Saccharomyces cerevisiae S288C: one gene and its partner. The gene in region 2 interacts genetically with the main gene of each other region. Each region holds a gene or a part of one and is shown on either strand. Other genes may lie near its edges. The genes, in order: ATP5 and PDC5.

Evidence for each region.
Region 1: mutations in PDC5 (region 2) and ATP5 together harm fitness more than expected from each alone (negative genetic interaction), as found in Saccharomyces cerevisiae (2 studies listed by BioGRID).

Annotation. Positions count from the first base shown.
Region 1 is NC_001136.10:1,057,666-1,060,992, reverse strand, and holds ATP5 (F1F0 ATP synthase subunit 5), read left to right. Parts: upstream 1-2,178; coding exon 2,179-2,817; downstream 2,818-3,327. Other genes in the region: rRNA-processing protein BFR2, read right to left, coding at 1-1,366. UniProt on the Saccharomyces cerevisiae protein: Mitochondrial membrane ATP synthase (F(1)F(0) ATP synthase or Complex V) produces ATP from ADP in the presence of a proton gradient across the membrane which is generated by electron transport complexes of the respiratory chain.
Region 2 is NC_001144.5:409,012-413,243, forward strand, and holds PDC5 (indolepyruvate decarboxylase 5), read left to right. Parts: upstream 1-1,711; coding exon 1,712-3,403; downstream 3,404-4,232. Other genes in the region: bifunctional choline kinase/ethanolamine kinase CKI1, read left to right, coding at 1-1,182. UniProt on the Saccharomyces cerevisiae protein: Second most abundant of three pyruvate decarboxylases (PDC1, PDC5, PDC6) implicated in the nonoxidative conversion of pyruvate to acetaldehyde and carbon dioxide during alcoholic fermentation.

The DNA of each region.
Region 1 (3,327 bases), on a different chromosome or scaffold from region 2:
TATCGATATTCTTCTTTAGCTTGTTGTTCGAACGAGCATTAGTTGAGGTGATTGTAATTGCTGCACTTTCAGAATTGTGAGCGTTGGAAATCTTTTTGTCAATTAAATCGTTTAGTAAAACACGGTAAAAATCTTCGTCATCAAAAACATATGGGTTTTCGGTAATGTCAATGGCATTGTTATCCTTTCTTCTTGGGTCATAGTTTTTCGGGATATCAAGCCCATCATCCGAATTCTCATTGTCATCAACACTATCTTTGACAACGGGAGAAATCAATTCTGGTAGCCTGCCATTAGCACAGTCTTTTTGGAAATACAAAGGCGTTATGTTTCTCCTGTTCAACTTTGTTCTTTTCATCAAACGGGACATATCGGATAATTGGTTTTCGACTTGTACATCTGCAGGTAAGTTGATAGCTTTGAATTTGTTAGATGATAAAGCAGCGTTACCTGATGCAGAAGAAACTTTGGTAGACCACTTGTTTAATACGGCAGTCCTGTACTCTTTTAGTTCTGAGTCTAAGCTATTAGTTTCTTGGTAAAGCTCTTTGAGAGATCTTTTTTTGGACAATTTATGCTTCGCCACCTCTTCATTTTGAGTGATATGATCGCCAAGTTGGAATTTTATTCTGAAATTTATCAACCGATTGAATAAATTATTGAACAGTTTTTCGTTTTCCTTCAGCAAACGCTTTGTTTCCTCTGAATCATCCATTTTAGCCTCTTCCCAGGACTCTGTAGTTAATGGGAGCTTATTTGCTGCAATTACAGCTTTTTGTAGTTTTATTCTCAAATCAATGATGTTGTCAAATAATTTTGTCTGTTGTAAAATGGAATAACCCTTCGAAGCATCTCTTTGAACTGATTGAGACAGTTTGTTAATAGCTTGTTTAGTCTCTTGTTGAATTAGTTTCGATAGTGCATGCCTTTTCTGTTGAGCCTCCTCCGTTTCACCGCCGTCCGCGTCTGATTCTTCTTCATCAATCTCTACTTCTTCATCTTCAGAATCTGTCCTGAATGAAAGAGCATCTTCCTCTTTTTCTTCTTCCTCTTCTTCTTCTTCTTCTTCGTCCTCATTCTCGGAAACTTCTTCATATAATGCTTGTCTTGAACCTTTAACACCTGTATATTTTGGATCGTTTAGTTCTAAACCTTTTTCTGCTCTTAACTTAGACTTTTCCACCTCCAAATAGTGCGCCTTCTTGGTTTCTTCTGTGTTGCTATTTCCATAGTCGCTTAAATCACTTTCTCCATTTTTTTCATTGTGTTGAAATAAAGATGCATTTTCCTCATCTTCAATATCGAAGTCTTTATTGACCGGTTTAATGGCGATATCGGAAATTTGATCCGCTAGTGATTTTTCCATCTTTTTTTGCTCTATATTTATTGGTAACAGTGCTTATTGTTACTCAATGTATGGTACGCTGCATACCTATCAAGATGCGACTACATATATACAATTATCTCATCTCATCGCGTATTGAAAAATTTTCCATCTTCTAATTTTTCAGAACCCATAAATTCGGGTAACGATCAGTGGAAAAAACTTAAATCCGCAGTAATAGGCTTGCAAAGGACCAAAGACAGCATATGCAGCAGTTAAGAAATCTAAGAATGCATTGTATATTAGAGTAGTATATGGAAAAGCTCGGACTGGGAGCCGTAAAATCTCTTTCCCGTAAGATCTGGCTGCAAACCTGGTCTACATAAATGTAGTACATTATAAGGGACTACCAAGAAATACGAAGCGCTCAGATATCTCTTAAAGTTCATTTTTTTGCCGGAATAATCTTGGTTTAGTAACTTATAAAACTACTTACGTCCAATAAATCGTTATATTTTATGCCGTCGTCATAAAGTGGACACTTTCGAGAGACGGTGCTGGCCAATAAGATGCTGATATTTGAAATATCATTTACCCGGGCCCGGGTGGGAAAAACAAGGAATTAAAGATAATGAAGTGATCTTTTGGCGAGATAGTAAAACTTTCAATTATCTAGGAACAATTTCAAACGCCAATTGTTAACTTTGTGTACAGTATTTCTAGTTTTTATCTCATTGAAAACAAAATTCAGTCAACTTGGAAATTTAAGCAGGCTACTGTGGCATTGAGATATTTTTCCGCAGAGTAAGAACCGATTAGCAAGTTACCGCATTATTTTTAAACCGTGGACAATCATGTTTAATAGAGTCTTTACCAGGTCATTTGCATCAAGCTTAAGAGCTGCTGCTTCCAAAGCTGCTGCTCCCCCACCGGTGAGATTGTTCGGTGTTGAGGGCACTTACGCAACAGCTTTATATCAGGCCGCTGCAAAGAACTCCTCTATTGATGCTGCCTTTCAATCTTTGCAAAAAGTTGAAAGCACAGTCAAAAAGAATCCAAAATTAGGTCACTTATTACTGAATCCTGCATTGTCATTGAAGGACAGAAATTCTGTCATTGATGCCATCGTGGAGACTCACAAGAATTTGGATGGTTATGTCGTTAACCTATTGAAGGTTCTTTCCGAAAATAACAGACTGGGATGTTTTGAAAAAATTGCGTCTGACTTTGGCGTTTTAAACGATGCTCACAACGGGTTACTTAAAGGTACAGTGACTAGTGCTGAACCATTGGATCCTAAATCTTTCAAGAGGATTGAAAAAGCTTTGAGCGCCTCCAAATTGGTGGGGCAAGGTAAATCTTTGAAGCTGGAAAACGTGGTTAAGCCAGAGATTAAGGGTGGTTTGATTGTAGAACTTGGTGACAAGACTGTTGACTTAAGCATTTCTACAAAGATTCAAAAACTGAATAAGGTCTTAGAGGACAGCATTTAACGTTAATAATATAGTTGGATATGCTCAACTCGTTTGATGTTACTTTCTTTGCCTCCCTCCTAATTTTTGATTCTGTTCAAATATATATTCTTTTCCGTGAATTTTTCCTAAACATCAAAATTACGTACATATACGAATAAATAAGAAACCCCTCTAAAAAGTGAATTTTTTTGTTCGAGACAACCATTTTAATCATATATATGTTCGTGTATCCAGGCAAACTTATATTAATCGCAAAAAAAAAAATTATAAGTGTATATATGGAATAAACATAAAAAATAATAAAAGAAGAAAAAAAAAAATAATGAAGAATTCTCATCAGTTTTCGAAGATTTCAAGAAAGTCCGAAGAACATTTAAGACCTTTTTGATAATTCAAGATGTGCATGCACAATAATAACCATTTCATAGTTGAATTTTGATGTATTCTTTCGTTACAAATCAAATATATAGTCAAAGTCACGCCTATACACTTAATAATATGTCTTGATGTATATAAATGGATAATAAA
Region 2 (4,232 bases):
GAATTGCAGATTTTGGCTAGGCTTTCATTGAAAAATATAGGTCCTTCCCTTTACGGCTGTTTTGTAAACGGTAGATTTGAGCAGTTTCTGGAGAATTCTAAGACTTTAACAAAAGACGACATTAGAAACTGGAAGAACTCTCAAAGGATTGCAAGGAGAATGAAGGAGTTACATGTAGGTGTTCCTCTCTTGAGTTCAGAAAGGAAGAACGGGTCGGCTTGTTGGCAAAAGATTAACCAGTGGTTGCGCACGATTGAGAAAGTCGACCAATGGGTGGGGGATCCTAAAAACATTGAAAACTCTTTATTATGTGAGAATTGGTCCAAGTTTATGGATATTGTCGATAGATATCACAAGTGGCTTATTTCTCAAGAACAGGGTATAGAGCAAGTCAACAAAAATCTTATATTCTGCCATAATGATGCCCAATACGGCAATTTACTTTTCACTGCTCCTGTGATGAACACACCGAGCCTATACACTGCACCTTCGTCTACATCATTGACTTCCCAATCAAGTTCCTTATTTCCTTCGAGCTCCAATGTCATTGTAGATGATATAATCAACCCGCCAAAGCAGGAGCAAAGCCAAGATTCCAAATTGGTCGTCATTGATTTTGAATATGCAGGTGCCAATCCCGCCGCATATGATTTAGCGAATCATCTTTCCGAGTGGATGTATGATTACAACAATGCTAAGGCCCCACATCAGTGCCACGCTGATAGATATCCCGATAAAGAACAGGTTTTGAATTTCTTATACTCTTATGTTTCGCATCTAAGGGGTGGTGCTAAGGAACCCATAGATGAAGAGGTTCAAAGACTCTATAAGTCAATCATTCAATGGAGACCCACTGTACAACTATTTTGGTCGCTCTGGGCCATCCTACAAAGTGGTAAATTAGAGAAAAAAGAAGCCTCCACTGCCATCACTAGAGAAGAAATTGGACCCAATGGAAAAAAATATATCATCAAGACTGAACCCGAATCCCCTGAAGAAGACTTTGTTGAAAATGACGACGAGCCTGAAGCTGGCGTCAGCATTGACACGTTCGATTATATGGCTTATGGTCGTGACAAGATTGCGGTCTTTTGGGGCGACCTCATTGGCTTAGGCATAATCACCGAAGAAGAATGCAAAAATTTCAGCTCTTTCAAGTTCCTCGATACTAGTTATTTGTAATACGTATACGAATTCCTTCAACAAAGGCCAAGGAAATAAAGCAAATAACAATAACACCATTATTTTAATTTTTTTTCTATTACTGTCGCTAACACCTGTATGGTTGCAACCAGGTGAGAATCCTTCTGATGCATACTTTATGCGTTTATGCGTTTTGCGCCCCTTGGAAAAAAATTGATTCTCATCGTAAATGCATACTACATGCGTTTATGGGAAAAGCCTCCATATCCAAAGGTCGCGTTTCTTTTAGAAAAACTAATACGTAAACCTGCATTAAGGTAAGATTATATCAGAAAATGTGTTGCAAGAAATGCATTATGCAATTTTTTGATTATGACAATCTCTCGAAAGAAATTTCATATGATGAGACTTGAATAATGCAGCGGCGCTTGCTAAAAGAACTTGTATATAAGAGCTGCCATTCTCGATCAATATACTGTAGTAAGTCCTTTCCTCTCTTTCTTATTACACTTATTTCACATAATCAATCTCAAAGAGAACAACACAATACAATAACAAGAAGAACAAAATGTCTGAAATAACCTTAGGTAAATATTTATTTGAAAGATTGAGCCAAGTCAACTGTAACACCGTCTTCGGTTTGCCAGGTGACTTTAACTTGTCTCTTTTGGATAAGCTTTATGAAGTCAAAGGTATGAGATGGGCTGGTAACGCTAACGAATTGAACGCTGCCTATGCTGCTGATGGTTACGCTCGTATCAAGGGTATGTCCTGTATTATTACCACCTTCGGTGTTGGTGAATTGTCTGCTTTGAATGGTATTGCCGGTTCTTACGCTGAACATGTCGGTGTTTTGCACGTTGTTGGTGTTCCATCCATCTCTTCTCAAGCTAAGCAATTGTTGTTGCATCATACCTTGGGTAACGGTGACTTCACTGTTTTCCACAGAATGTCTGCCAACATTTCTGAAACCACTGCCATGATCACTGATATTGCTAACGCTCCAGCTGAAATTGACAGATGTATCAGAACCACCTACACTACCCAAAGACCAGTCTACTTGGGTTTGCCAGCTAACTTGGTTGACTTGAACGTCCCAGCCAAGTTATTGGAAACTCCAATTGACTTGTCTTTGAAGCCAAACGACGCTGAAGCTGAAGCTGAAGTTGTTAGAACTGTTGTTGAATTGATCAAGGATGCTAAGAACCCAGTTATCTTGGCTGATGCTTGTGCTTCTAGACATGATGTCAAGGCTGAAACTAAGAAGTTGATGGACTTGACTCAATTCCCAGTTTACGTCACCCCAATGGGTAAGGGTGCTATTGACGAACAACACCCAAGATACGGTGGTGTTTACGTTGGTACCTTGTCTAGACCAGAAGTTAAGAAGGCTGTAGAATCTGCTGATTTGATATTGTCTATCGGTGCTTTGTTGTCTGATTTCAATACCGGTTCTTTCTCTTACTCCTACAAGACCAAAAATATCGTTGAATTCCACTCTGACCACATCAAGATCAGAAACGCCACCTTCCCAGGTGTTCAAATGAAATTTGCCTTGCAAAAATTGTTGGATGCTATTCCAGAAGTCGTCAAGGACTACAAACCTGTTGCTGTCCCAGCTAGAGTTCCAATTACCAAGTCTACTCCAGCTAACACTCCAATGAAGCAAGAATGGATGTGGAACCATTTGGGTAACTTCTTGAGAGAAGGTGATATTGTTATTGCTGAAACCGGTACTTCCGCCTTCGGTATTAACCAAACTACTTTCCCAACAGATGTATACGCTATCGTCCAAGTCTTGTGGGGTTCCATTGGTTTCACAGTCGGCGCTCTATTGGGTGCTACTATGGCCGCTGAAGAACTTGATCCAAAGAAGAGAGTTATTTTATTCATTGGTGACGGTTCTCTACAATTGACTGTTCAAGAAATCTCTACCATGATTAGATGGGGTTTGAAGCCATACATTTTTGTCTTGAATAACAACGGTTACACCATTGAAAAATTGATTCACGGTCCTCATGCCGAATATAATGAAATTCAAGGTTGGGACCACTTGGCCTTATTGCCAACTTTTGGTGCTAGAAACTACGAAACCCACAGAGTTGCTACCACTGGTGAATGGGAAAAGTTGACTCAAGACAAGGACTTCCAAGACAACTCTAAGATTAGAATGATTGAAGTTATGTTGCCAGTCTTTGATGCTCCACAAAACTTGGTTAAACAAGCTCAATTGACTGCCGCTACTAACGCTAAACAATAAGCTAATTAACATAAAACTCATGATTCAACGTTTGTGTATTTTTTTACTTTTGAAGGTTATAGATGTTTAGGTAAATAATTGGCATAGATATAGTTTTAGTATAATAAATTTCTGATTTGGTTTAAAATATCAACTATTTTTTTTCACATATGTTCTTGTAATTACTTTTCTGTCCTGTCTTCCAGGTTAAAGATTAGCTTCTAATATTTTAGGTGGTTTATTATTTAATTTTATGCTGATTAATTTATTTACTTTCGTATTCGGTTTTGTACCTTTAGCTATGATCTTAGCTAATTGAAGAGGGTGGTGTGATCTTTAACCATACCTTATTATCTTTCAGCTGCTTACCATTTTCTTATATTGATTTTTAGCGAAAGATTTTTATTCACAAGCTTTTTTTATCCTTAATGCTCGAATACTACAACAAAACAAAAAACATTAAACAGTTTTTAATTTTGTGAACAAACTGAATTACAAGGCCTTACATCTTATTTAGAATATATTAAGAAACAGAGGCCAACATGCCTTCTTAATTATATTGATATGGACCTCTGTCCTTCCTAAAAACGGGTTTTTGTTCGATGAAAAATCACCAGTAGAGCACCATATATGAATTTACAATCATTGTAGGGAAAAGAAAACTTGTTCTGCTTCGCCAATTGATTTCATTTCTTTTTTTCCTTTGTTTTTGTTGTATACTATTAATATGCGTAGTTCTTTGTCACTTAGTGGTTTTTTGTTTAATTTATAACGCGAAAGCTGCATACTAAAAATATAGAGATGAATGGAACTCCGAACAAGCAAGAGAGATATTATCTATCTCTGTTCC